Linked DNA regions of Macaca mulatta. The protein of the gene in region 4 interacts with the protein of the main gene of each other region in a pairwise test. Links are inferred from orthologs where the notes say so. Each region holds a gene or a part of one and is shown on either strand. Other genes may lie near its edges. The genes, in order: RPLP0, NANOS2, SYF2, CCNDBP1, PSMB10, PIMREG and AMPD2.

The links.
Region 1: the proteins of CCNDBP1 (region 4) and RPLP0 interact in binary tests that used the Homo sapiens proteins (3 or more experiments, as listed by UniProt). The link is inferred for Macaca mulatta from reciprocal best matches to the Homo sapiens genes CCNDBP1 and RPLP0.
Region 2: the proteins of CCNDBP1 (region 4) and NANOS2 interact in binary tests that used the Homo sapiens proteins (3 or more experiments, as listed by UniProt). The two-hybrid records come from large-scale screens. The link is inferred for Macaca mulatta from reciprocal best matches to the Homo sapiens genes CCNDBP1 and NANOS2.
Region 3: the proteins of CCNDBP1 (region 4) and SYF2 interact in binary tests that used the Homo sapiens proteins (3 or more experiments, as listed by UniProt). The link is inferred for Macaca mulatta from reciprocal best matches to the Homo sapiens genes CCNDBP1 and SYF2.
Region 5: the proteins of CCNDBP1 (region 4) and PSMB10 interact in binary tests that used the Homo sapiens proteins (3 or more experiments, as listed by UniProt). The two-hybrid records come from large-scale screens. The link is inferred for Macaca mulatta from reciprocal best matches to the Homo sapiens genes CCNDBP1 and PSMB10.
Region 6: the proteins of CCNDBP1 (region 4) and PIMREG interact in binary tests that used the Homo sapiens proteins (3 or more experiments, as listed by UniProt). The two-hybrid records come from large-scale screens. The link is inferred for Macaca mulatta from reciprocal best matches to the Homo sapiens genes CCNDBP1 and PIMREG.
Region 7: the proteins of CCNDBP1 (region 4) and AMPD2 interact in binary tests that used the Homo sapiens proteins (3 or more experiments, as listed by UniProt). The two-hybrid records come from large-scale screens. The link is inferred for Macaca mulatta from reciprocal best matches to the Homo sapiens genes CCNDBP1 and AMPD2.

The regions. Positions count from the first base shown.
Region 1 is NC_133416.1:127,495,500-127,499,504, forward strand, and holds the start of RPLP0 (large ribosomal subunit protein uL10), read right to left. Parts: upstream 2,807-4,005; 5' UTR 2,759-2,806; coding exon 2,705-2,758; intron 2,451-2,704; exon of another isoform or gene 2,245-2,450; intron 1,616-2,244; exon of another isoform or gene 1,229-1,615; coding exon 1,053-1,228; intron 949-1,052; coding exon 861-948; intron 744-860; coding exon 597-743; intron 486-596; coding exon 300-485; intron 1-299.
Region 2 is NC_133424.1:58,468,128-58,471,460, forward strand, and holds NANOS2 (nanos homolog 2), read right to left. Parts: upstream 2,074-3,333; 5' UTR 1,995-2,073; coding exon 1,578-1,994; 3' UTR 517-1,577; downstream 1-516. UniProt on the Homo sapiens protein: Plays a key role in the sexual differentiation of germ cells by promoting the male fate but suppressing the female fate. Represses the female fate pathways by suppressing meiosis, which in turn results in the promotion of the male fate.
Region 3 is NC_133406.1:215,734,758-215,738,296, reverse strand, and holds part of SYF2 (pre-mRNA-splicing factor SYF2), read right to left. Parts: intron 3,483-3,539; coding exon 3,357-3,482; intron 2,597-3,356; coding exon 2,479-2,596; intron 1,894-2,478; coding exon 1,803-1,893; intron 1-1,802. UniProt on the Homo sapiens protein: Involved in pre-mRNA splicing as component of the spliceosome.
Region 4 is NC_133412.1:20,576,749-20,580,993, reverse strand, and holds the start of CCNDBP1 (cyclin-D1-binding protein 1), read right to left. Parts: upstream 2,819-4,245; 5' UTR 2,723-2,818; coding exon 2,614-2,722; intron 2,411-2,613; coding exon 2,351-2,410; intron 2,071-2,350; coding exon 1,991-2,070; intron 1-1,990. Other genes in the region: TMEM62 (transmembrane protein 62), read right to left, coding at 3,605-3,931. UniProt on the Homo sapiens protein: May negatively regulate cell cycle progression. May act at least in part via inhibition of the cyclin-D1/CDK4 complex, thereby preventing phosphorylation of RB1 and blocking E2F-dependent transcription.
Region 5 is NC_133425.1:63,512,720-63,516,888, forward strand, and holds the start of PSMB10 (proteasome subunit beta type-10), read right to left. Parts: upstream 2,812-4,169; 5' UTR 2,739-2,811; coding exon 2,683-2,738; intron 2,472-2,682; coding exon 2,384-2,471; intron 2,298-2,383; coding exon 2,200-2,297; intron 2,089-2,199; coding exon 1,948-2,088; intron 1,683-1,947; coding exon 1,567-1,682; intron 1,456-1,566; coding exon 1,397-1,455; intron 928-1,396; coding exon 776-927; intron 651-775; coding exon 548-650; coding exon of another isoform or gene 539-547; exon of another isoform or gene 476-538; intron 339-475; coding exon of another isoform or gene 291-338; exon of another isoform or gene 165-290; coding exon of another isoform or gene 66-164; exon of another isoform or gene 1-65. UniProt on the Homo sapiens protein: The proteasome is a multicatalytic proteinase complex which is characterized by its ability to cleave peptides with Arg, Phe, Tyr, Leu, and Glu adjacent to the leaving group at neutral or slightly basic pH.
Region 6 is NC_133421.1:7,929,538-7,933,730, reverse strand, and holds the end of PIMREG (protein PIMREG), read right to left. Parts: intron 4,089-4,193; coding exon 3,793-4,088; intron 2,250-3,792; coding exon 2,154-2,249; intron 1,533-2,153; coding exon of another isoform or gene 1,502-1,532; exon of another isoform or gene 1,488-1,501; intron 1,202-1,487; coding exon 1,141-1,201; 3' UTR 503-1,140; downstream 1-502. UniProt on the Homo sapiens protein: During mitosis, may play a role in the control of metaphase-to-anaphase transition.
Region 7 is NC_133406.1:130,582,442-130,586,520, reverse strand, and holds the start of AMPD2 (AMP deaminase 2), read left to right. Parts: upstream 1-1,270; 5' UTR 1,271-1,707; coding exon of another isoform or gene 1,708-1,717; intron 1,718-2,199; 5' UTR 2,200-2,453; coding exon 2,454-2,706; intron 2,707-4,079. UniProt on the Homo sapiens protein: AMP deaminase plays a critical role in energy metabolism. Catalyzes the deamination of AMP to IMP and plays an important role in the purine nucleotide cycle.

The DNA.
Region 1 (4,005 bases), on a different chromosome or scaffold from region 4:
TCAGGCTGGAGTGCAGTGGCACCATGTCGGCTCACCACAACCTCCGCCTCTTAAAGGGCATTTTGATGGCAAAATTTGACAGTCTTATTCCTGGCCCTAGAATAACAGCCCAGCACTGTTCTAAGACTTTACATCCATTAATTCATTAAATCCTTCAACAATCTTATGTTGTTATTGACATTTTACAGATGAGGCAGGTAGACAGATGAAAACACAGTCCTTGGTTACAGGGACTCAGTCTGACCCCTGTCATGCTCTCAACCATCAGTGTAAGAGGGGGCAAGGCTGAGAGCATGTACCTCCAGGAAGCGAGAATGCAGAGTTTCCTCTGTGATGTCAAGCACTTCAGGATTGTAGATGCTGCCATTGTCAAACACCTGCTGGATGACCAGCCCAAAGGAGAAGGGGGAGATGTTGAGCATGTTCAGCAGCGTGGCTTCGCTGGCTCCCACTTTGTCTCCAGTCTTGATCAGCTGCACATCACTCTGAACAAGGTAACAGTGGGGCAGTAAACACCTGGACAACCAACAGACCCATGGCCACTAAAAGCAGCCCCCCATTTGCCTGATTAGCACAGGCAAACCAGGTCCACTCACCAGGATTTCAATGGTGCCCCTGGAGATTTTAGTGGTGATACCTAAAGCCTGGAAAAAGGAGGTCTTCTCGGGCCCGAGTCCAGTGTTCTGGGCTGGCACAGTGACTTCACATGGAGCAATGGCACCAGCACGGGCAGCAGCTGGCACCTGACAAAGACAACAAACAGTGAGAAAAGCCTCTCCACTCATACAACCTGAGAATGGTCCATTTTGCTTTAAGAAGCAACTACAAAATCTCTTTAGCCAACTCAATTGTCCCCTTACCTTATTGGCCAGCAACATGTCCCTGATCTCAGTGAGATCCTCCTTGGTGAACACAAAGCCCACATTCCCCCGGATATGAGGCAGCAGTCTGCAAAGAGAAGTTTACAGGAGAAAATCACCTTTCAGCACCATTCTCCAGGAAGAGGGAGACGGGCACTGGGGAGGGAGGACAAAACTGCCAGTGGAACTGACTTCTCCAGAGCTGGGTTGTTTTCCAGGTGCCCTCGGATGGCCTTGCGCATCATGGTGTTCTTGCCCATCAGCACCACGGCCTTCCCTCGAAGGGACATGCGGATCTGCTGCATCTGCTTGGAGCCCACATTGTCCGCTCCCACGATGAAACATTTCGGATAATCATCCAATAGTTGCTACAAAAAACAAGTCAGAGGAGCCAAGTTTAACAGGAAGAAAGAGGGAAAAAAATGCCAGGAGAAACTGAACCCCACAATTTGTTTCCTTCTCACTCCCTTTCTTCTAAGCTTTTGAAGTCAGAGGGAGAGTGGGAGCTACGTTGTAACACTGCCAAACTGGATGACTGGTTTGCTGGATATGAATGCTGAAAATCAGGTTTCTACATTCTATCAAGGAGTTTTTCCTTTAATTTTTTTTTTTTTTTTGGAGATGGAGTCTCGCTCTGTCCCCCAGGCTGGAGTGCAGCTGGGACTACAGGCGCCCGCCACTTCGCCCGGCTAGTTTTTTTGTCTTTTTTAGTAAAGACAGGGTTTCACTGTGTTAGCCAGGATGGTCTCGATCTCCTGACCTCGTGATCCGCCCGTCTCGGCCTCCCAAAGTGCTGGGATTACAGGCTTGAGCCACCGCGCCCGGCCTTTCCTTTTTTACTTAGTTTTTTTTTTTTCATTTTTCCCAATTACGAGGGAGGTTTCCGATTCACTAAAATGGTTATCAGGATAAAAAAAGGAATGTTCCAAATAAGCTGGTCAAGAGGGCTAGACTCACAGCATTCAAAGCACAACGTTAAGCAACGTTATTACTTGTAAAAAGAATCTAGACGTGTATATCCTGATTGTTGTACAATTCTTTCGAGTTTTGTGTCTGAAAACCTTTTAAGTGTGGGAAAACGTAATACAAGCTATGCTCTACAATGCTGCCTAATTGCTTAAGCGCAGTACAGTCAGCGTTTCTGGGCAAGGAAGACCCACCTCAAAGGCCATCCAAGTCACTGGACACTTAAGTTTCTTGACTGACAGGTCCTAAATATGCAACAACTTGCTTCCTTACAATGAGTCACTACTGGCCTCAGACCTTCTCAAAGATACAGTAAAAGTAGAATGTGCGGCTGGGCGCAGTGGCTCACTCCTAGCACTTAGGGAGGCCGAGGCGGGCAGACCATGAGGATCAAGAGATCGAGACCATCCTGGCCAACGTGGTGAATCCCCGTCTCTACTGAAAATACAAAAATTAGCTGGGTGTGGTGGCGCGCCCCTGTCATCCCAGCTACTTGGGAGGCTGAAGCAGGAGAATCGCTTGAACCTGGGAGGCGGAGGTTACAGTGAGCCAAGATCAAGCCACTGCACTCCAGCCTGGACAACACATCGAGACTCCGTTAAAAAAAAAAAAACAAAAAAGGTATAACGTGCGCTCTTTTGGAAGCCAGACAGACCTGGATATGAATGCTGTCATCTTAGGAGCCACTTAACTTGCCTGAGCCTGTTTATCTGCAACAGAAGGGACCTATCTCAGGAAATTGTTAACTAAACAGGATTTTCCCGAAAATGGCCTAATTCAGTAACCGGTACTGAATAGACCCTCAGCACATGGCAGCTGACTGTCCCTATTTGCGCTGGGGCAACATGAAGGGCAGAGGCGACCCACCCTGCACTTACGATGATCTTAAGGAAGTAGTTGGACTTCCAGGTCGCCCTGTCTTCCCTGGGCATCACGGCGGTGCGTCAGGGATTGCCACGCAGGGTTTAAAGACGATGTCACTGAGGAGAGAGAGGGAGCTCAAGCCTGGTCACCCCGACACCCATTCCCCGGTCCTGGGCCTACGAGGAGCAAGACACGCGCAAGCGCCCGCCGGCTCTGCCTAGGGCAGCCGCCGCCATCTCGGGGCGTGCAAGCCGCCACCGAGGCCCCAGGCGGAACAGGATAGGACTCCACGTTCCCAAAATCCCCCAATGACCCCTCCATGCTTCCCGCTGACGCCCCAGACGCCGATCTGGCCAGCGCACCAACCTTCCACGAGGACGCCTGGCGAGAGAAGGGCCTCGCGCCCGTGCGTGCGTTTTATATGCGAACAAAATAGCCAATCAGAAACCGCGGATAGCGCTCCTGTCTATTGGCTGGAGCCATCGCCCGTCCGACAAAGCTGAACGAACACAGGCAACCATTGGATAATGTCGCTGCCACTCGAACCAACGGAAAGCCGCCTTAAAGTAGGGTAGTGAAGGAAGGCGCTGCCTCGCGTTGGAGGAGCTTGCTCTGAGCTGCTGCCACCTGCGGGGCTGGAGCTGGAGCTGCGAATTCGGAGTCTCCAGTTCCCTCTGCCACCTGGCGAGCTCGGCAAACTGAAAGGCATGAGATGAAGCTGAGACGTAATTGCACATGCTTAGAAACCGAATGATCTCTTGTCTTCTCTAGTTTGTTTTTCCTCCTACCAAAACAGAGGGATCTTTAAAATCTGGCCGGGCGCGGTGGCTCACGCCTATATTCCCAGCACTTGGGAAGGACGAGGCAGGTGGATCATCGGAGGTCAGGAGTTCGAGACCAACCTGACCAACATGGCGAAACCCCGTCTCTACTAAAAATACAAAAATTAGCCGGGGGGGTGGCGCACGCCTGTAATCCCAGCTGCTCAGGAGGCTGAGGCAGGAGAATTGCTTGAACTCAGGAGCTGTGAGCTCTGCAGTGAGCTGAGATCGCACCATTACACTCCAGCCTGCGTGACAGAGACTCCGTCTCAAAAACAAACAAACAAACAAACAAAAACCTAAGTCAGCTCATCTCCTTATCTGCTCAAAACTTTCCATTTCCTCCAGAGTAAAAACCTAAAATCTAAACTACCTACAAGGCCCTACCTATCTGCCCCTCACGCCCACTCTGATCATCTCAGATGTTTTCCTCCTGACTTACTTGCTTTCCACCCGATGATGCTCTGCTGCTTTTCCAGAGCAGGCTTAACTTG
Region 2 (3,333 bases), on a different chromosome or scaffold from region 4:
CTGGAGGATGCAGTGAGCCAAGACTGCACCGTTGGCGCTCCAGCCTGGGCAACAAGAACGAAACTCCACCTCAATAAAGAAAAAACAAAAACCAAAAATAAAAATTACCTGGGTGTGGTGGTGCGCACCTGTAGTCCCGGCTACTCGGTCGCCCCGTCTCTACTAAAAATACAAAAATGGCCGGGTGTGGTGATGCATGTCTTTATTCCCGGCTACTCGGGAGGCTGAAGCAGGAGAATCGCTTGAACCCGAGAGGTGGAAGTTGCAGTGAGCCGAGATTGCGTCATTGCACTCCAGCCTGGGTGACAAGAGCAAAACTCCGTATCAAAAAAAAAAAAAAAAAAAAAGTTAGTCAGGCCTCGTGGGGCGCACCTGTAGTCCCAGCTACTGGAGGGGCTGAGGGAGGATAATCACTTGAACCCGGGCAGGGAGCCGAGATCGCACCACTGCACTCCAGCCTGGGCGACAGAGCAAGAGCTTGTCTCACAGACAAACCAAAGACGGAAACAGATACAACCATTTCAAAGACGACTGAAAAACCTTTTTATTCACCAGAGCTCAATACTCAGGGTCCCAGCCCTGTGCCAAAAACTGAACAACTTAAAATCTGACTGGGGTCCTTCTTTTCTTTGCCCCTAAAATAAAAGCTAGGCCGTTGCCTTTCCCATCCGGGTACTCAAACCCCTGTCTTATCGGCGGTTCCTCGACTTAAAAGTTGGAGGATGAAAAATACAGGAGGAAAAAAAAAATTCTTTAGTCAACTATCACGATTTGGGGGGTCGGATGGGAGGTAGTGGAAAGATGTGCTTCTTGCTGGGAAAAAGGACCCATCGGTGATTTGGGGATGGGGGCACGCGCCGAGTGCACTGGGCTGAACAAGGGGAAGAACAACCAGGGGGCATTGAAAGGTGTCAGCTCACCCCATGACTCTCCATCCGCGGGTGAGCCTATGAAGACACCGTGCCCTCCAGTGACACGGTGCTCTCCAGCGTCCCACTCAGCTCCTGACGGGTGGGTGCTGAGGTCAGGGAAGGAATGAACCGGTGTGGTCCACGATGACACCGTGGTTCTACAGAAAGGTGAAGGTGGAGAAGGCTGGTGTTAAGTGGACATCCCATCTTGAAGTTCTCGGGTTGGCACTTCTCAGCCAGCCTTCTTCAGTGTCTCCTAAGGGCTGGCTTGGGACAGCACCGTGGAATCCTGGAGGTTCAAAAATCCAAGAACTCCACAAGGAACGGAGAAGTTGAAGGGGCAGGGCTCCTGTCACCAGCAGGCCCCACGAGAACAAAAGATCCATGAACCGGGGCCCAGAGGGCGCTACAAGGCCATGCAGGAAGGGTTCCCGGCGCACCAAGGACCCTGGGACGCCCACAGGCCAGAGCTCCCAGAGCTGACAGGTCCAAGGGGGCGGGGCTGGCCTGGCTCCCAGGAGTCTCCACTGTTTCAGGATCCAGCCAAGGTGGAGTTCTGGGGGCCAGAAATTCCAAAGGGCTGGGTGACTGGAGGAGAGAGTTTAGGGACTTGGGTGGGACAGACCAGGAGGGTCAGGGGTGCGGGTGGTGGACATCTCACGGTCCTCAGCGCTTGACCCTGCGTCCGGCCGAGTTGCGCCCGCTGCGGCGGTAGAGGGACTGCTGGCCACCGTTGAGCGGGCAGTACTTGAGCGTGTGGGCCTGGTCACCGGTGGCACCGCACACGGGACACACGTAGTGCCTCAGGATGGGACACACCACCACGCCGTCTGGTGTCTTCAGCTGGTGTGAGGAGTAGACGTGGCGGGACTCCCCGTTGTGCTTGCAGAAGTTGCACAGGGTGCCCAGGCCCCCGTTGGCCCCTGACCCTCCCAGCCCCTGATCCTGCCCCAACGGGGGCCCAGGACTTGGCTCCTCAGTCTCTTGGGTCTCCAGCCTTTGCCCCCGATTCGCGATCAGCGCCCACACCACTTGGCTCAGGTTGAAATAGTCCTTCCACATGTCAAAGGGTGGCAGCTGCATGGCACCAAAACAGGGGTGGTGGGCCACTGGAGAGGGGCTGGGGCTGGGGGCCCGTAGGCAAGGGCAGCAGGCGTTTCCCAGAGCAGAAGGGAGCTGCACCCCCTTTTATAATGCCCAGAGACTCTTCTAAGCAAAGGTGGAGCTTAGGATTTAAAGGGCCCACTCCCTGCCCATAACCCCCATCTGACTTTAATTCTTCACAGAGATCTGGAAGGAGATCATTCCCCTGGTCTCTGGCCCCTGCTCTGCTGCCAAGGTGCTCTGTGTCCTCTGGGAAGACAGTTCCATGCTCTGTGCCTCAGTTTCCCTATCTGTTCAAAGAAAGCCCATGTCTGCAAATATCCCCCACCCCTAGGCTGGAGGGGCTACACCCTTCCTAGACTTCAGAGTTACTGCTGATCATCATAGCAACCAGGCTGGGTGCGGTGCCTCACACCTGCACTCCGGGCACTTTGGGAGGCCGAGGCAGGAGGATCGCTTGAGCCCAAGACCTCTAGACCAGCGTGGGCAAAATAGCGAGACCTTGTCTCTACAAAAATAAACAGACAAAAATAATAATAACAACATGACCTGATTTATTTTATTTATTTACTTGAGACAGTGTCTCGCTATGTCGCCCAGGCTGGAGTGCAATGGCGTGATCTCTGCTCACTGCAACTTCAAGCGATTCTTCTGCCTCAGCCTCCTGAGTAACTGGGATTACAGGCGCCCACCACCAAGCCCGGCTAATTTTTTTGTATTTTTAGTAGAGACTGGGTTTCACCATATTGGCCAGGCTGGTCTGGAACTCCTGACCTCAGGTGATCCACTTGTCTCTGCCTCCCAAAGCGATGGGATTACAGGCGTGAGCCACTGCGCCAGGACTATTATTTTCATTTTACAGAGAAAGATATGAAGCTTGGAGAGGTTAAGGAATGTATCCAAGGTCACACAGCAGGGAAATGGCAGAGTCGGGTTTCATACTCACTCTGGGAACTGGGAATTGAGGTTAGAAGTGGCAGAGGACCTTGGCACAAGACGATTTCACTTAGAATGCCCCCTCTTGGGCTGGGCATGCTGGCTCACGCCTGTAATCCTAATACTTTGGGAGGCTGAGGCTAGAGAATCACTTGAAGCCAGGAGTTTGAGACCAGCCTGGGTAACATAGTGAGACCCTGTCTCTACACATAATAAAAAATCAGCTGGGCATGGTGGCATGTGCCTGTAATCCCAGCTAGTGAGGAGGCTGAGGCAGGAGGATCACTTGAGCCCAGGAGGTTGAGGCTTCAGTGAGCCATGATTGTGCCATTGCACTCCAGCCTGGGCTACAGAGTGGACCCTGTCTCTTGTTTTGGAGATG
Region 3 (3,539 bases), on a different chromosome or scaffold from region 4:
CAAGATGGCAAAATCCTGTCTCTACTAAAAATACAAAAATTAGCTGGGTGTGGTGGCAGGTGCCTGTAATCCCAGCTACTTGGGAGGCTGAGACAGGAGAATTGCTTGAACCTGGGAGGCTGAGGCTGCAGTGAGCCGAGATCACACCACTGCACTCCAGCCTGGGCAACAGTGCAAAACTCCATCTCAAAAAAAAAAAAATAGGGCCATGTGCAGTGGCTTATACCAGTAATCCAGGCACTTTGGGAGGCTAAGGTGGGCACATCACCTGAGGTCACGAGTTCGAGACCAGCCTGGCCAATATGGTGAAACCCCATCTCTACTAAAAATATAAAAAAATTAGCCAGGCATGCTGGTGGGCACCTGTAATCCCAGCTACTTGGCAGGAGAATCACTTGAACCCAAGAGGTGGAGCATGCAGTGAGACGAGATTGTGCCACTGCACTCCAGCCTGGGTGACAGAGCAAGACTCTGTCTCAAAAAAAAAAAAATAAAAAATAAAAAATAAAAAATTACAGAATTGAAAGGAACCTAAGTCATCAACTCCTCCAACACCTTCACTCTACAGATCAAAGAGCCAACAGGCAGAGAGGCTCCAGGACTTATCAGATGTCACAAAGTGCTAGGGACAGAGGTGGGATTAGAGCTCCATCCTGAGGTTATTTCCTTTTCCACTAAAGCAAACTGCCAAACTACAGCAGCCCACCACCTGTTTATGAAAAGAGGATTCATTTATGAATCCTCTGCAGCCGCTTTTGCACTGCAGCAGCACAGCTGAGTAGCTGTGACAGAGATTATATGGCTCACAAAGCTGAAAATATTTACTATCTGGTCCTTCACAGAAAAAGTTTACCAACCCCAGCACTAAAGCATTATGCCTCCTAAAATATCTCAGTAACTACAACAATCAGAGTGTTAACCAATCAACAACCAGTCTTAGAATGCCCAGTTAAGAAAAAAACAAAAAACAAAAAACAGGTGATTAATTGCTGTGAAGCAAGCAATAAACAGTGCTGTCAAAACAGAGACTAGGCCTGGCACAGTGGCTCACACCTGTAATCTCAACCCTGTGGGAGGCCAAAGAGAGAGGATCACTTGAGGCCAGGAATTTGAGACAGCCTGAGCAACACAGTGAGATCCCGTCTCTACAAAAAAATTAATTAGCCAGGAATTGTGGCACATGCCTGTAATCCTAGCTACTGGGGAGGCTGATGTGGGAGGCTCCCTTGAGGCCGAAGTTTGAGGTTACAATGAATTATGATGGATGGTGTCAATGCACTCCAGCTTAGGCAACAGAGCGAGACACTGTCTCTTTAAAAAATAAAATAAAATAAAAAAACCAGAAGGGCCAGGCAAGGAAGGGCCAGGCACAGTAGCTCACACCTGTAATCCCAGCACTTTGGGAGGCCGAGGTGGACGGATAACTTGAGGTCAGGAGTTCAAGACCAGCCTGGCCAACATGGTGAAACCCCATCTCAGCTAAAAATATAAAAATTAGTTGGGCATGGTGGTGGGCACCTGTAATCCCAGCTACTCGGGAGGCTGAGGCAGGAAAATCACTTGAACCCAGGAGGCAGAGGTTGCAGTGAGTTGAGACTGCACCATTCAGTGCACTCCAGCGTGGGCAAGACAGCAAGACTCCGTCTCAAAGGAAAAAAAAAAATCCAGAAAAAACAGAGACCACCCTTAGACAGCTATTAATAACCCATACCTTAGCATTAAAGTATGTTTCTATTTATATACATACACACACACAAACACACAAATATATCCACATCAGCTCAGGATGAAAAAGGACTCACTGTTTTTCTCTCAGTCTCTCATATGTTTCCATGTCAGGTTTGATCTGCTTGGTCAACCGATGATACTGGCGTAACTGGGCAGCAGCATAATCTAAAAATATAAAATCAGAATCTGAGATAATATATTTCCTTGTTTGGACCTTCCTATTGAGAGAAAAATCTAAATTATCATAGGTAAGTATCGTTTATCCAAAATGCTTGGAATCGGAAGTGTTTCCGATTTTTTTCAGATTTTGGAATATCTGCATTATACTTAAACTCAAAATCTGAAATGCTCCAATCAGCATCTCCTTTGAGCATCACAGCATCATGTTGGCACTCAAACAGTTTTGGATTTTGCAACATTTTGGATTTCAGATTTTCAGACAAGGGACACTCAATCTGTGTGAAGTAATATATGCCCAAAACACTATTCTAAGCATAGCTTCTATCCTGAAGATGCTGACAAACAGACTTTGATAAATTTTACCATCAAGTATTTAAAAATCCGGCTAACTGAAGCACAGCCTTTTTTTTAACTTCTGTCCTAAGAGACGTATTTGTACTTTTCTTGGTCTTTAGGCCTCATCAAGAATATCCCATGAAGCACAAGAGGCACATCCTTTCTTGAAACCAGAAACAATGAAGGAAATGACTAACAGCCCAGTCAATAAAGTTCAATAAAGGTCAATCTGACCTGAAAATCCCAGATCAGGGTTTTTCCTCTTCTTTTTCCTCTCCCATTTTTCTGCATCTTCTGCACTGATCTCCAGCAACTTCACTTTCTCATAGTCTTCTCCTCTTGATGCACATTCCTAAAAAGAAGAAAAAAGCTGACACCTACAATTATGATACAAGCAATAATTTCATCTACTTTACATCAAGAAAGATCCAATAAATATTAACCAATATTTTAATAGTTTTTTTTAGTTGGAGTTTCACTGGCTCTGTCACCCAGGCTGGAGCTCAGTGGTGTGATCTCAGCTCACTGCAACCTCCACCTCCCAGGTTCAAGGGATTCTCATGTCTCAGCCTCCCAACTAGCTGGGACTACAGGCACATACCTCCATGACCGGCTAATTTTTGTATTTTTAGTAGAGATGGGGTTTCGCCATGTTGGCCAGGCTGGTCTCAAATTCCTGACCTCAAGTGATCTGCCTGCCTCAGCCTCCCAAAGTGCTGGGATTACAGGCATGAGCTACTGCACCCGGCCACTGTAATAGTATTTAAAGGAAATTTGGAAATACACTATGGTATATAAGTGAGCACATGATACTTATTGAGTGTTAATCAGGTGTCAGACCTTGTTTTAAATGTTTTACATGCATTAACTCACTGAATTCATAATGAACTCAAATAATTATTGTTACAGTTCCTGTTTTATTGATGAGAAAACAGAGGTACAGAGAAGTCAAATAAACTCACCCCAAGTGTCACAGTCGGTACTGAACAGAACCAGAATTTCAATTCTGGCAGCTTGGCCTAAGAGCCAGTGTATTCAACCACCATGTTGTAGTGTCTTGATACAACAGAATGATTGACTAAATCACTTATGAAGATAAAACAGTTCCTAACCTTTTTCTTTTCTTCTTCCTGTAGTTCCCACTCCAAACGAGCTTTTTTGGCTTCCCAATTTGCAGGTAATTTTAGTCTTTTATCTTCTTCCACAACTTCCTGGTGATTTAATTTACGAGCTTCATTCTAAAACCGTAACACAAGAAGTCTGTCAGCTAAAACATGAAAATAAATCCAGATACA
Region 4 (4,245 bases):
CACATAATTTTATTAAAGTATCATTCCATGAAGATTGGAATTTTAAAAAAACAAAAAAAAACCCACCCATCTTTTAGTAGGACTAAAGTGGTGAGATCTCAAGAAGGCAATGATGATTCATGTGTATGTATGTGTATATATACACACATATATACATATATGTATTTATTTGAATATATGTATATACTTGAATATTTGTATATATTTCAAATAAATCCAAATTCTAATTTTTCATCTATGAGTAAAACTACTGTCCTGAGCATGTATAGAAAATCAGTTCTATGCTGCCTCCTTGTGGTATCTTACTTGCAGTGAGTTTTAGCAGCAAGTCCTAAGTGTATTTGAAAGAAAGGGGTTAGCAGATAAGAAAAATAAGATAATATTAACTATTCTTTTTGAAATAGTCTATTTTCCATGAATCTTTTAAAGTGCCGTCATACAATTCATCTCTTGTTTCCTCATCACAAATCTCAAAGGTAGGCCAGGCACGGTGGCTCATGCCTGTAATCCCTACACTTTGGGAGGTCAAGGTAGGCAGATCACTTGAGGTCAGGAGTTCGAGACTAGCCTGCCCAACACGGTGAAACCCCGTCTCAACTAAAAATACAAAAATTAGCCAGGCATGGTGGCGGGTGCCTGTAATTCCAGCTACTCGAGAGGCTGAGGCAGGAGGACTGCTCGAACCGCATAGGCAGAGGATGCGGTGAGCCGAGACTGTGCCACTGCACTTCAGCCTGAGTGACAGAGTGAGACTTTGCCTCAAAAAAAAAAAAAAAAAAAAAAAATCTCAAAGGTATGTGAGGAGGAGAGAGTTTATCACTGTAGGTACATGCAGCAGAAGATACCTATATTCTTTCCAAACACCTATATATGTAGACTGAGAAATTAAAACTATTGACTATGAAAATCAAATAAGGCAATGAATATGCCATTTTAAAGGAATCTTACTCCCATATTAAGGATACACAGCTCTAGAAAAAACTAAGCATAGAGCATACGTGGTCACAGCCAACATGTTTACTTTCATTAGTTTAATAATAAAGGAATATTTAAAACGCATAAATTCTTTGTTCTAGCAATTCCACTTCTGGGAATTTTTTCTACTGATATACATACATACACAGAATTACGTAATTCATCACAACACTGTTTGCAGTAATTCTAAGTTGGAAACAGCTTAAATGTCCACATAGAGTATGGTTAAATTATGTTTATATCTAGTCTATTGAATACCATGCAGTCATTACAAAGAACGGAACAACTTTATACTAGCTGCTAAGAGTTGATTTCTAAGCTCTATTGTTAATTTATTTAAAGGAAGGTCCAGAACAGTGTTTATGGTATCTTACCATTTGTGTAAAAAGAAGCTGACACATACAAGATAAATGTTTATGAATGTATATATGTACAGAATGTATGTGGAATAATGCAAAAGGAACTGGGGGAGACAAAAATGAGAAAGTGGATGGAAGGATAAACTTAACACACTTAACTTTGATATCTTTTGAATTTTATACTATCTGCATAGGTTACTGATTAAATATAAAAAATAATATAAAAAGGGTATTATGTAGTATAACAGAATAGGTGTACCTTAGACATCAGATAGACCTTGATTTAAATTCTAGCTCCCCTGCTTTTTTTTTAAATCTTAACCTGAGCTTCTGAGCCTGCTTGCTCATCTGTCAGATGGCCATCAAGTATGTGAAAACACCCAGCACATAAAAAGTGCTTAAAAAATTATCAGAAAAGAAACCACCAGGGTGAACTTCAGATTGAACCAATATTTATAAGACCTGCCTACTCCGCGCCAGGAAATGCACTTGGCAGTTCGGTCTTCACAACAAGCCTGTGAAGTAAAAAACGGTAACCTCATTGGACAGACGAAGAAAACAAATCTCCTGGCATGCGTGTAAAAGGTGGAAAGAAAATTAGAGGATTCCTAAGGTGTAACTCGGCAGCCCAAGGATTCCAGGAAAGTGAAGCCCACCTGTGGAGACGGCAGTGGAAGCTGAGAGAAGACTGTGGTCAGAGTCGTGGCTTCCCTTGACACTGTCACAGCTGCCTCATCTGGGGGGTGGCCGAAGAGAAGGCAGGTGCCAATACATTAGCGCTGCACGGACTTGGAAGATACGCGTTCCCTTACCGACCCAGACTTCTCAAAAACACCTCCCGAATGTCGATGTTAGAATTCTAGTTTACCCTCTCAGGTGCTGAGGTGGGTAAGGTATCTCACAGAAAGGATGCAGCAGGGGAGGGCAGTCCCCTCCCTGGGGGAGAGCGAGAGGGAAAGGGGTCGGGACGCTGAAGGAACTGAGGCAAGGGGAGCCGGGACAGGAGGCGCACTCACTGAGTCTTCTCCAGAACATCTCTCGATTAAACTCCTCGGTGGTCTCCTGGGCTTCGCCGACTTGCGGGTGTGGCGTGTGGGGGCCGAATGGTGGCGAGTGGAAAAGCTAAGGTAAGCGGACCTACCTCCCTCGCCCGAGCCTGGCTCCCCGCCGCCGCCGCCCCAGCCCGCCCTCTCCGCGACCCCGAGCCCGGCCTCTCCCCGATCCCGGCCTCTCCCCGAGCCCGCCCCTGCCGTCGCGCGTTCCAACTCCGTCAGCTCACCCCGCACTCGAGGCAGGAGCAACCGCAGCTCCTCCGCCAAGTGCCGGAGCTGCTGCAAAGGTGGAGCCAGGGTGGGGGCTGCGGCTGCAGGTGCAGTTGCGCTCGCCATCTCAGTCGCTTGCCGAAGGCCGCAAACACAGGCCTCCGCCACCACTGCCGGAGCCGCACTGCGACAGCCGCTCCACTTCCGGGCCACAGCGTCAATGGCTCGTTTCCGGCAACAAGCCGTCCAGCCCCGCCCCAGAGGCCCGGCCCCGCCCCCAGAGGTCCAGCACCACCCATCCCATTATGAGAGACCAGGCCTGGCCCCGCCTCCTCCCGCCCCGCCCTGTCCCCAGAGGTCCAGCACCAACCATCCCAGAGGCCAGGACAAGCCACGCCTTCTCTCGCCCCTTAAGCGAGGCCACACGAGCAAGGCTCAGGCTCACGGTCTTTCTTATTCATCATTCATTCATTTATTTGATTAGTTGAAAACACTTCCGACTAAGGAAGCAGAGAGCCCACAATCCTGCGGGAAAACAGGCCTGGGAACTAATATCTCAGCCGTGGTCAGGGTCGGGCCCAGATCCTCAAAGGTTCCCTGCCCTTGAAATTGCACCTTTGACAGCTGCTGAATTTCAAGCACAGCGGTAGGTGCTTTACATGGGGTAACCCCTAAAAAACACACTGGGCCTCTGACACTCCCGTACACACACCCAACCCCTACCCTGTGGGTGTCCTAGATAAGGGTTTTCTCTTCACAAAGATAAATCAACTCTTTGCCTCCTTGAGGAGGGAAGGAATAAAGGCATTATTTTTGAGACTTTTCTGCAGTCCATTCTGCAGGTATCAGTAGTGGGTAATCCCTCCAACATCCAGGAGTCCAAACGAGCAGCAGCTCCCTAAAGCTCACGCACCAATACTGGCCCTCCACCTGCTACTGGGGTAGAGGCCTAGGCTACAGACACAGAGGCTGGGCTTCTGCCCAGCTGCCAGTGGTGAGACATGGCCTTCAGGAGCTCAGGTGGCTTTTTAACTGCACCATGAAGATTCCAAGCTTGGCGGAGTTCAGTGTCCACACACAACGAATGAGAACAGGTGTCAGCAGTGTCAACCAGGTCCGCAAAGGGGAGAATAAAAAAGCTAGGGTGCCGTATGTCGCATAAAGAAAGTAGCAGGAATAAATCTGCCAGATGTACAGCAGTAGCATAAGTAGGTGAACAGGCATAATTTTCAAGTATTTTCTTTGATGGAGATGAGACCTGAAGTTGTGACCAAAGCACCGCTGCAGCAAGCTCCAACACATGTAAGCCATCAAGGGGATGTTAAAAAATGCCAGCTGGAAAAGAACAGAGCCATAGCTTACTCCCAAGTCCTTGGAAGAGTTTGGTCTTAATAATGCATCATTAGTGGATCCTAAGAATATGCTGCTTTCTGTCTTGGGGTTAGCTAATTTACTTCAAGCACAGTTGCTTATAACACAACAGCTGACTTGTGGCTAGTTGTGTATTTGCCCATGTCCTTTTATTCATCTTAGAGGCGGGTATCATTTAATTTATGTTGAAGTCCCAACTTGTAGTACAGTATCATATACACAGTTAATACCCAGTGGTGTTAAGCTGGAATTGAACTGAGTAAATGTATACACACACA
Region 5 (4,169 bases), on a different chromosome or scaffold from region 4:
TGAGGGGTGTTACCGGTAAAGATGTTGTGAGGTTGAGAAGTGCTTGGTGAGAACTTGCCTTGGAGTCAGGGAGTGGCTCCTCTTGTCAGCACTTTAGCCCTCAGTGAGGCCTTACTGAAAGGTATGAGCTTTGTCCTGGGCCACTGAGGAGCCATGGAAAGTCCCTAGGAGGGGTCATGGGGTCTTTTGTGTTTTACAAGTCTCCAGTGGACTAGAGGGCCAAGAGCAAGGCAGTGGAGTGATGGGGGAGCCTCCAAGGTGTGGAGTCAGAAGGAAGGTTTGGATGGAGATCAAGCCTGCAATGCTGGCCAGGGCTGGGGTTCTGGAGCTGTAGGTGCCTGAGGTAATGGGTGAAGAGCATCTGTTAGGCCAGACACTAGAGCTATGGGAAGTAATGGTCCCTGCAGGGACGCCTTAGCTACAGAGCCCTGCTGGCTGCCTGCCCACCCTACTCCACTCAAGAATGACACAGCCATCTGTTTAACTGTATTTTCTGGGTTTATTCCCCCTTGTTCCAAGCTCTAAGCCTCAACCTATTTTACTCCACCTCCATAGCCTGCACAGTTTCCTCCACTAGCTCCAGGGTTAGTGGCTTCACGGTTTGGGTCAGGACAGCTGTGGTTCCAGGCACAAAGTGGTAGCGGCCAGACCTGGGAGAGAGGAGGGACGGCCTCTGAACATGGGCCTGTCATGTGGCCCATCCCCTTCTTGCAGCCCTCCATCTCCCCTGCTGCAGCCCCACACATCCCTGTGGTACCCCATCGCCAGCACTCACCTCTTCACGGGCTCTGTGGGTGAGCTCAGTGTCCGCAGCAGCTTGGCGCCAGTCTTCGTGATCACACATGCGTCCACATTGCCCCCGGAGCCCAGGTCACCCAAGATTCCGGCGGTGATGGCTTCCACCAGCAGCCCCTGAGCGGCCTCTAGCTGCGGTGATGAGTGTGTGAGGCCTGACGGGCCCTCTGCTGTTAACTTAGGCTATAGCCTGGGGACTTGCCTGTCCACTCACCCAATCTGGTCTTGCACCCCAAACCCCCACTGTGTTTCTCCCTCTGAGCCTTAGCCACCTCTGAGGCAATATCACCTGCTTCCATCCCACCCCAAACAAAATGTAGGCTCCAGACGTTGATATAAGTGTGACCCTACTGGTCCTTCCCTCTGCCCTCGGCTCCAAAAGATCCTCTGTGAGCTTCGACTTCTCCCAACCGTCCAGGCTTTGGTATTGGACGGTGTTGTGCCAGGACCGCACTTCTCTGCCCTTACTCCACTCACCCTTCAGTGGTCACCACCTCCAAGCCTTCCCCCACCTCCACACCGGGCTAGGGTCCTGTGCTCCCCCAGCTCCCGGGTGCACATCCCACCAGCGACCACATAGTCGGGGACAGAGGCCGCTCACCGTCATGTTCGGCTGGAACCGGTCTTCTAGTACCGCCAGGGCCTCGCCCTGGCCAGAGCCTAAAGGCAGGAGAACCATCTGAAGTCAACCGCTGCCACCCAGTTTGGAGTACAACCGTGAGGCCAAGGTCACAGGGGCAGGGTTCGAGGAGAAGGGACAGAAGTGCTCACCCAGGGCTGTGAAGGGCAGACGGCTGTAGGAGCCATGGGGATGCACGCTGTAGAGCTGCGGTCCAGTCAGGTCTACGCCGCCCACGATCAGCGATGCACCCACGTGGCCCCGGTACCTGCTCGAGGATGGGCGGGGTCGGTCACAGGCAGGGGCCTAGGCCCCGCCCCTCTATGCCTCCGCCCTTAGGTACTATCCCCGCCCCTTCCTGTGATGTGGCGCCCGATGACTGACATAGCCTTTTCCGATAGCCCAGCTTCTCTTGGGCTGGCCTCTTCCGGTCACCTGGCCCGTCGCGGCCCCGCCCCCCTTTCTGTCCCGCCTTCCATCGGCCCGTGCCGGCAACGACCCCTCCGGGGATCCTGTTAGCCCCGCCCCCGCACCGGAAGAGCGTCTGGCACAGGACGCGAGTGACCGTGGCCACGCGGGCCTCTCGGCCCGTGGATAGCGCGTGTAGCTCCATCTTGGACGCCACCATCCTTGTGGTCATCTCGGCGTCAGCGGCTACTCCAGCCCCACAGCAGCTGAGGGAAAAGGGAGGATCGGTGTGGGCAGGGCTGGCACGTGCCGGGACCGGAGTGGGAACGAGGGGGCCGTTCTCTTTTGCGTGAGGGAACTGGGCTGGTGAGTCTCACTAGATTTTGGGGGCGATGAAGTGGATCTTCTCACAGCTCTTGTCCGCCACGACCGAATCGTTAGTGGCTCGCGTGTCGGCGCCGAGAATGACTCCGTCCTGAGGAGAGGGAGGGACCGCAGCCTCAGTGCCTGCTCGATACTCCCGGCTCCCCTCCAGCTCCCCTGTCCTTCCCCGCTGCTCACTTGGAACACAAGGCCCGCGATGGTTGTCCCTGTCTTGCGTGCATGAGGGACCTTGAGCCCCGGGAGGACGCGTTCCAAGGATGCATTTCTGGAAACGGAGAAGAGCGCCCAGGTTTCGGCTCTGCTTCCAGTACCCCTGTTGCTTCCCCTAACCTGGTCCCCGTCTCCCTCATCTTCCGGGGTAAGCCTGGAACCCAAGTCGCCCAACACACCCTCTCCCACCCCCAGCCAGGAAAAAAGGCCACGACCAAGCAGAGGTGACTCAGGATTGATCGTCCCCTCCCCAGCCCCCGCTTCACCTTTGGCAGTTCTCGAAGGAGAAGCCCCCTCGGGGCTCCAAGGCTGGCTTCAGCATCTTGGGGCAGGCAGAGCGGATTAGGGGTCGCGGGTGGATGAGTCGGTCAGACAAGTGGGGCCAGTGAGGAACTAAAAAGTCCTCTGCTAGGCTCGACGTCTGTCCTTCCTGCTTTCGCTTTCGCCTTTACCCTTCAAAGGCCCGTGGCGGTTTTCTGCATCTTGTCTTTCACTTTCGGCTTCACTTGTGGCTCTGAGCATTTGGAGAACTGGGGGATGTCCCTTGCTGTGCCCTCTGTGCTGCTCACAGGGTCCTCTGTTGGATAGAGATTCAAATCTCTTCCCTTCTGGACATTGTTCAGGTCCTCCTCCCCCTCCATCTGAGCCCCCTGCTCTTACCCTAGCCTCAACTCTGACCTCCAGTCCCAGCATAATAAAGCTCTCAGAGCCTTGGCCAAGTCTGCATTGTTGCTGGCCACCCAGTAGCATCAGGCATGGCTGACTTTTGTTCCTTGTCACCTTTCTTCCAACTCTTGCCTCTTGTGTTGCCTTCACTCCTCTGTGAAACCTCAAACACAGGCTCAGTCCTCAGCCACAGGGACCCTGGTCTTTCCATCTTCCATCTCAGGTGACATCTTCCCCCTCTCAAGAGGGGCACCATGGGTGCTGGGTTCCACTCACGGCCAAGCCTTGTTATTTCACCTCCCCAGTGACCTCTTATCTGCACACATCTTTCTCCTAGCACTTCTCGTCTCAGCTAGCAACCTCTCCCACCTGGACATTGCACTGGCCTCCCTGATTACCTTGCGATTCTTGCCCCCTACCTCAGGCTACACCTTACCCTGCAGAGAGCGGGTCTTTCTGAATTGGAAATCTGGTCACACTCTTTCTCTGGTTTAAACCCTTCAGCAATCTGGGCCTGGTGGCTCACACCTGTAATCCCAGCACTTTGGAAGCCCGGGAGTTCGAGGCTGCAGTGAGTACGGATCATGCCATTGCACTCCAGCCTGGGCAACAGACCCCATCTCAAAAGGGGGAAAAAAAAAGACTTAGGTTTGAGCCTAAGAGCAGCACGCAGCTGCCAAAGGGTTTACTTTTTTTTTTTTTTTTGAGACGGGGTCTTACTCTGTTGCCCAGGCTGGAGTACAGTGGTGCGATCTCATTTCACTGGAACCTCTGCCTCCCAGGCACAAGCACTCTTCCACCTCAGCCTCCTGAATAGCTGGGATCACAGGCACATACCACCATGCCTGGCTAATTTTTTGTTTTTTGTTTTTTTTGGTGGAGATGGGGTTTCACCATGTTGCCCAGGCTGGTCTTGAACTCCTGAGCTCAGGTGATCCACCCTCCTCAGCCTCCCAAAGTGCTTGGCTTACAACCATGAACCACCATGGTTGGTTGTGCCTGGCCTATTTTACTTTTTTTTTTTTTTTTTTTTTGAGACAGAGTCTTGCTCTGTCGCCCAGGCTGGAGTGCAGTGCCGCGATCTCAG
Region 6 (4,193 bases), on a different chromosome or scaffold from region 4:
TTTCTATTTGTTTACTTGGCGGTGGCAGCCAGTCTGACCCTGTCTGTGGTCTGACTGTTCCTAAGTGTGTAACTTTCAGTATTATCTGTGACAGACGGCTCTGTGGTGAAAAAGGTTTATTATATTCCTTATGGCTGCCTTGTACAAAATCCGTTAGAAACGCTAATGTAAGATATCAGATTTCTAACAAGACAAAAACAGCGTTATGGAGTTAAAAGATTTTTACAACTGGTCTTGATTTTGATGTGAGCTGGTTTTTAGCTCTCAAATGTTGTCACTTAAATAAAAACCTTATTTGCCTTTACGGTGTGTTTGCGTCCGAACTAAGCTGAGAAGCCTTTCCCTTTATACATGTTCTCCCTGGGATGGGTTTTGGGGGCAGACTGGCTCAGAGCAGAGGTGGATGAGGGCCACAAATGAGACCACAAATGACAGATCTATGGCCCGGAGTGGTGTGGGAGGACGGGGAAGGTTGGAGGTGGCCGGTGAAACGGAACAGATGTCAAATGCAAACAGTCTTTATTATGAGAAAGCAGTGTTATCTAGGAAAGTCACACGCTGGTTTCTTATACAACGACAAAGCAGGTTTCTTAAATAATTTACAAAGGGCAGAAATTGCTTTTGAACAGGGCTACCCCTCCCGGCACACCCACAGTACTCCGCCTTGAGTGTATAAATAGAACCCGTGAGCCCAGGGTCGGAAACCTGGAAATATCTCCTATGCCTTCCTCTGAGTCCCTGGTAGGGAAAGCAGGGATGACAGTGGGGCCCCCAAGAGCCTTGGCACCAGAAACACGGTGGGTGAGTGACTCTGTGGATGACTCCCCAAAAACCAGACACCTGGGTACACAGCTAAGAGCTCTCAAACATCTGAGGCTAGCACTTCACGTTATAGACGAGGCAAATAGAAGGCTCAAGGTCGAGTGTACGATGAGTTTCTAAGCTCAAGAGTCCCCTGGGAAAGCAGAAGGAACAATTCTCCCCCTCTGCAAGGTCTCCCCAAGACACTCTCAGGCTATGGCAGGCAGTCACTGATGGGTCCAGATGTGGCCGGAGCAGGGGGCTCTGGGCCCCTTGTTAGGTGCTTGTTAGCAGTGGCCCGGGGGTACTGACAACTCCTGGGGGTTTCCTCCGGGAAGCTCACGGGGAAGCATAGACATCCTTGAGTACGAAGACTTGGCGGTCAGACAGGGCTTGTTTCCTGCAAGACAGCTGCCTTTGTCACTGTGCTCAAGGTCGGAGAAGTAGGGATACCTTTCCCTGCTCACTGTGGGGTGGGGGCTGCTGGAAGGTGGCTGTAGCTACTCGGGGCCCCCGGCATGCTGTTAATGATGGGGTCTGTGAGGTTAGCAGCTCTGGCTCCAAGCAGCAAGCGGGTCCTACCTACTCTGCTGTGCCCATCAGCTCTGTGGGTTTTTCTTTAACTTGCTCATGCATGAGGTGGAGGAGGAGGACAGTGAGAAAGACGCTTGGGAGGTGGGCATTACCTGCAGGCACTTCCTCAGTCATGAATGAGAGAGATGATGTCACCACTAGAGAGAAGGGGAGGGATTGATGCCACTGGGTGTGGTGGGCTCTGAGTGGGCCCCTCTCAGCCTGAGCTAGACAAGATCAGACCCGGAAACATGGTAGGAATATGGCCCCCCAACACATAGAGCTGGCAGGGCTCAGCCTTAGAGCCCATCATGGCCATTATACAAGTGGAATGGAGAAATAGCCCCAAGTTAGGGGAGATCCACAACCGAGGCCCTGCGCCTAGGATGGGGCCATGAGCAGAGAGACCAGGAGCTCCATAGCAGTCAGGTTGCTTTTCCCTATTCCACAGGCAGGCAGGGCACAGAGGAGCCACGGACAGTTCTGGAGGAAGGGCAGGCTTTTCAGGAACCAGCCACGTGTGAGGTTCCAAATGATGGACAAACGTGGGGGCCCAAGGCCCAGAAGACCACACACATTCAGGCTGCATTCTTTACCATCAACCCAGTCCAGGTTTTTGTCTCTTCTCATGTTTGAGATGAGGGAGACTGAGGCCCAGAGAGGGGCAAAGACTGGCCAGGGTCACACAGCAGGTCAGCGCAGAACCAGCGCCTGCCTACAAAGATGGCCGGAGGGGCCCTGCCGGCCACTTCACTTTGAAGTATGGAATGCCAACTCACCTCTCTTCCGCCATGATGGCTTCCTCTAGCTCTTGGGACAGCTTCTGGAGATGCTGAATTCCCGCCCCCACAGGCTCTGGGTCACTGTCAGACTCGCTGAATGAAAGAAAAAGCCACACCAGTGACTAGCTAGAAACTCCTGGCAGGAGCCCCTTGCAACCCAGTACCGGGGTCTGGTCTGTGGGCCCAGATGACCCTGGTGGGCTGGGCTTCACTCCAGACCCTCACTCCAGGAAGTGACCTCAGAGCAACAAACAGAGAGAAGATCAAGATCCACAAGGCCAAGGTCATGGGCAAGTGATTTTGCAGTGTCCCCACTTGGAAACTGAGCCTCAGCCCTCCAGGAGGCTTCAAAACTTGCTTGTGGGCTCACTAGGAGGCTTGGGTGAGTGGGATTGTATCAGAGCTAAGCTCAGCTCTTCCTTTACAGAGAAACTAAGGTCCTGAAGGATTTTCTCAGGTCCTCTGCTAGCTCTGGGGGCGGAACCAGGTCAGAACACAGATGTGGAGAGTATTTTTGAAGTGTACACAAGCCTTATTTTAGCTTCCAGGTTTGCAAAGAGCCACCTGGTCACTTACATGCATCCTGGTGACCACCTGCCACAATAGACGGGCAGCCGCTAGGCAGCCTTCCCTGAGAGCCCCGAGATGGGAATAGGAAGCTGCGAGGAACTGTGGACTGGGATGAGCTTCACTCTCTCCCCTGAGCCAGGCCACTTGCTGGGCCTGTCTGAGAACTAGAAGATTCTGCAGGGCAGGCCAGCTTGATCAGTGGGGCAGAATATCCAGATGATCTGGACCCCAGCCTTTACTCCTCTGTTTCCTACGGGATGGCCCTCGTGCTAATCACCAAAAGCCTCCGGACCTCCGTTTCATTACCTGTCAAACGGGACAAACAGAGCCTACCTTAATTACAGCTCAAGGTTCCTATGAGACTAAAGAAAGATGCTAGCCCTCAAAGAAATTTGGGGAAAAATTCAACAGCCCAAAGCTACTATGCAGCCTTAACTAACACACTCCATTTCCCCCTAGAACTCAGCCAGAAAGTTGAAATACAATCCTTAGGAATCTAGTTGTTGTTTTGTTTTCTCTCTTTTTTTTTTTTTTTTTTTTTTGAGACAGAGTCTCGCTGTGTCACCCAGGATGGAGTGCAGTGGCGCGATCTCGGCTCACTGCAACCTCCACCCCCTGAGTTCAAGCGATTCTCCTGCCTCAACCTCCCAAGGAGCTGGGATTAGAGGCGTGTACCACCACGCCCAGCCAATTTTGTATTTTTAGTAGAGATGAGGTTTCACCATGTTGGCCAGGCTGGTCTCCAACTCCTGACCTCAGGGGATCCACCCGTCTCAGCCTCCCGAAGTGCTGGGATTACAGGTGTGAGCCACCGTGCCCGGCCAGTTTTCTCATTTTCTAATGAACAAATACACGCACTGGATATCTGCTAAAGCAGGACACACATTTAACAGTAAGAATAATTATAACATGATATGACGCTGCTCAGGGTACCCCTGGCTCCAGGTAGCCACAGGAGGTGCCAAGAAGCCCCTGGGGCCCAGCTGGTGTCTGGGAGGTCAGAGAGCAGGGACTGTGCCCAGGCTAAAAGGTCACCAGTGCCGGGGTGAGGCACTATCCCACTTGCCTGGGAGAGCAGAGGGGCTCTGTTGAGGAGTAGGGGCTCCGGAAGGCAGCCTCCCGCCTTGACCGCCGTGATGGGTGGGCACGTGAGCCCATCCGGGCAGAGAGGTGGTGACGCTCCTTCTCCCGGGGCTCTGTGGCTGAGTGGGCAGGGGCGGCTCCAGACAGCCGAGTGCTCTTCTGGCTCAGGCTGTGAGCTGGGGATCCACTGCCCGTCTGTGCTCCTCTCTTCCGCCTCCTGGCCTTCACGTGCGTCTCCACCAGCCACCTGGTGCCACTTTGGCAGGACTCCTGGATTCTCTGGAACAGGCAAATGGAAAAGTTAGCACAGACACAACCAAAAGTGAGGCCGGGCACCGTGGCTCACGCCTATAATCCCAGTACTTTGGGAGGCCGAGGCAGGTG
Region 7 (4,079 bases), on a different chromosome or scaffold from region 4:
GAGAGATTATATCAGTGTTCAAGGCCACCAGTAATGTGTGTGCACACGTACGTGTGTGTGTGTCTCCCATCTCACTAACTATACCCTTGCCACCTGCATTAGTGTTTGTTTTTTTGTTTTTTAGTCTTTGCTATTTTGATAGGTAAACCTGGTTATCTCTGTTCTCTTTTTAGTTCTATGGATTCTGTGTGAGGTGAAGAGGCCAAGTTTTTTTAAGTTTGTTCAGGGAACAGTAGACAGGGATCAATGGAAGTGGCACCAGATGCAGGTGGAGCACAGGGTTCAAAGTCCAGAATCCAGCGTGGGGAGAGAAGAGGCAGGCAGAGTTTGGGAAGGAACTCTGCTGTGGGGGTGGTGAGAACTGGGAGGAGCCAGACAAACAGCATTAGAACAACTGGGTTTGGGGGGCAAAGGCCTCCCACAAGAGGGAAAATAGGGAAGAGATTAATTCCTGCTAATGCATTTAATTATATTCAGTGAAGTCTTAGGGACTTCCCTCCACAAGTTCCCTTTAGGTCGGATTTTCTACCCCTTGGCAGTGGGGATGCTTGTTGGATAGGATGTCTGCAGACCCCAGAACGGCTGTAAGTGAATCAACCTGTGAGTGTCAATAGAGAACCAAGGCCAAGGCTAAAGCAATGGTAATAATAAAAAAGTGCTAACTACAGGCCAGGCACAGTTCTAAGCAGTTAACTTACATTAACTCATTCATCTTAACCACCATATAAAGCAGGTACTCTTACACTCATTTTACGGAAGAAACAGAAGCACAGAGAAGTTAGGTAACTTGTCCAGTATCAGGAAGTAGGTGAAATCTGGATTTGAACGCAGACATTCTGGCTAGAGTTAAAGCTCTTAACCACCAAATACAGAAATGTGGGAAGGGGAGCCAGAATTGCAGGGCACAGCCTCCTACCTATGCCGGCCGGAAGAAAACAGACGACCAGGTGAGATTGCAGGGGCAGGACTTCTGCTTAAAATGAATCCTGGGACGATAACAACAGCTACCTTTCATTGGGCCCTGACTTCGTGCCAGGCACTAGGTAAAGGGACTTTACGTTTAATCTTCACAGTAACCCCTTTGAGTGAGGTACTGTCATTACCCCATCTTACGGATGAGGAAGCTGACGCACGAAACTGCCCCAAGATCAAGGGTCAGCTCAGGCCAGCCCTACCGCGGTGTGGCGGCTGCCCACGTGGCGCCCAGGAAGAGAAAAAAATGGCGAGGCGGGGTCGGCAGGCGGAGGCGGGGCCAGGCGGGGGCGGGGCCAAGGGCCGCAGAGCCTGGCGCGGAGCCGGCGAGATTTTCGTGGGGTCGCACCTGTTGCGTGACTCCCCCACAGTCCGGCCGCGGGAGTCCGACCCTGAATGCCCAGGGAGTGTTGCGAGAAACCTGGACGAGTTCCGGGTCCCGCTCCCTTGGGAGCACGTGGCCTACCCGTCTCTCGATTGCGATTGCGGGGTTGGGTGGTCGCGACACCGGGGTCGCCTTGAGGCCAGTCTGGCTGCCGAGATCTGCGGGAGTCCACCTCCGGCCAGCTGGCAATTTTGAAAGACTGCCTTACTTTCCCCATCTCAGTGCCAGGGCAGGGGCCCTTGGAGTGACTTGGCCGGAGTCTGGGGCCCGACCACCCTGCCCTCTCTCAGGACCCGGGCTTTCTGCTGTGCAGACCCTCGTGGGCAGCCTCCCCTCGGAACTCGGACACCATGGCTTCAGGTGAGTGTGTGTACGTGTGTTGGAGGGAGGGTCTCTGGGACAGAGAAGTGCTGTGGCCAGGGTGACAAGAGGGTGGGAGTCACAGCACAGCGGCAGGACGTAGGGAAGGCGGTCAGCTCTTCCTACGAGGGCCTGGGGAGCAGAGCCAGAGTGTGCAGAGCCAGAGGAAAAATCCGAAGAGGCTAGGGTCTCTGTCCCAGACCCCCAGACAAGGGGGTCTCCTGGCCTTCCTGCCTTCCTAGGAGGTAGCTATTTGGCGACGGTGGAATTTTCCCAAGACAGGCCCCTCCCTCCTGGGCTGGGATTCTCGGTTCTTCCCCCTCCTCCCAGAGCTGAGCTACCCCCGGAGCTGAGGGTCAGATGTGGAAGGAAAGTGGGTGCTGGGTTTTCACGGAGTATGCCAGCCCTGCCCCGGGAGGACTGTGTTTGAGCTTGGACTCACTCGCTGCTGAATTCCTATTTGTTATTCTTTTTTCTTCCAGACTAGCTGGAAGGACCAGCTAGCCTGGACTTTGGCTTCTTTGCCCTGGAGCCCTGGCATAATGGGGTGAGGGCTCTTGGTGGGTTAGTGGAGAGCTGGGGGCTGGCCCTTCCCCATCTTCTTTTCTACCCACTCCCTCCCCCGCCCCCCGCCAAGCCCAGCCACCATCAGTCACGTCACTCCTGGGACTGAGGAGGGAGGGGAGGGATAGGGGGCAGAGATGGAGGCCCCACTCCCCGAGGTTGCCTAGACAACATGAGAAATCGTGGCCGGGGCCTCTTCCGCCTGCGGAGCCGCTGCTTCCTGCATCAGTCACTCCCGCTGGGGGCGGGGCGGAGGAAGGGGTTGGATGTGGCAGAGCCAGGCCCCAGCCGGTGCCGCTCAGACTCCCCCGCTGTCGCCGCCGTGGTCCCAGCCATGGCATCCTATCCATCTGGCTCTGGCAAGCCCAAGGCCAAATATCCCTTTAAGAAGCGGGCCAGCCTGCAGGCCTCCACTGCAGCTCCAGGTGAGTGTGTGCTTCCTGGCCTCAGGATAGATGCTGGGCTCTGTCTTGCCACCTCTCGCCCAAGCTGCTGGTCCCCTCAGAGGAGGCCACCTCCTCTGGCATCCTCTCTGTGGTGGTGCCTCTTAACCTCAGTCCCAGGGACAGCCGGCTTGGAAGGTGGGGTGAGGGGTGGCCGGGGGTGGGGGTGGATCTGAGATATCTGTGCCAGGGATGCTGTCCTCTGTCACAAGGAGTGGGCATGGTGTGGGTGCAGCAAGAGGTGTGTGTGCACACGTGTCAGCGTGTGCATGTGCTAAGACTGCATGTGGAGCATGTGTGAATGGAGTGGGGGTGTGTGGGACTGTTTTGTGGACTGGCCACTCTGACTGGTGCCTGTGCCTTTACCAGGCAGGCTCAGGCTGTTCTGTGACTAGTTCCACTTTTTAGGACCCCACATCTAGATCCCCCTCACTGGGGGTCTGACATCTGGGCACAACCATTGTTGGCTGGCATCCCACAACTGGGGGCTTGACTGTATCTATCGTTTGCTATTTGCTCGTTCCTTGTCTATGTCATGAGCCTCCTTAGGAGTATGGGGCGTCCTTGGTCAGGTCCGTGCAGGCTTCAGACTGGGGCTGCTGCCCGCACTGCGTGTGCTCCTGCACCCTTTGGTTCGTCTCTCACTCTAGTAAGCATCTCTGCATCATTTGGAGCAGGCAGCGAGGTGCAGCAGCGCCTGTCTCAGTGAGGGCTTGGCTGCCTGGCTCTGTGCTTGCAGAGGGCTGTCTGCCTGCTGTCTGCTCCCAGGCCTTGTGGCTAAGGAAAGACCCACCCTGACTTTGATGACCAGATCATGCTGACTGCCCCCCACCCTTGCAGCTGTCTGTAGCCATAGCCCTACTATCAACCTCCTATATTTTCTTGTTTCATTGAAGATGCCTAGTGCTAGGTCTGTACTGCCCTGAGGGTGTTCTCTGTGCCCAGGTCTGTGCCATCCAGAAAGGGTGTCCCCTGGGTGGGGCCCTCCCTGGCCCTGTTTGGTTCAGCAATAGGGCAACTGATACGGATCTAGCCCAGAACTGGATACCCTTCAGTGGTCAGATGGTAAGAGCATCTGACACTTGTGGGGTCAAAGCCGTGGACACCCCTGTGCCTACTGAGGCAGTCCTGGCAGTGTGTGAGGGGCTCCTGGTCGAGAGGGGAGATGGGGTGCTCAGAATCTCAGAGTTGGTGGGAGTGGCTCTGGAGCGGCCCACTCTGGCTTTTGCTTGACTTCTCTGTAAGTGTGGGTGTATGTGTGTGGTGCTGGCCCCTAGAGAAAGGACCAGTAGGCAGCTGAGTCTTCTAGGCCTGGCCTCTGAGAACGTAGAGGTTACTGCCTGTGTGTCACCTTC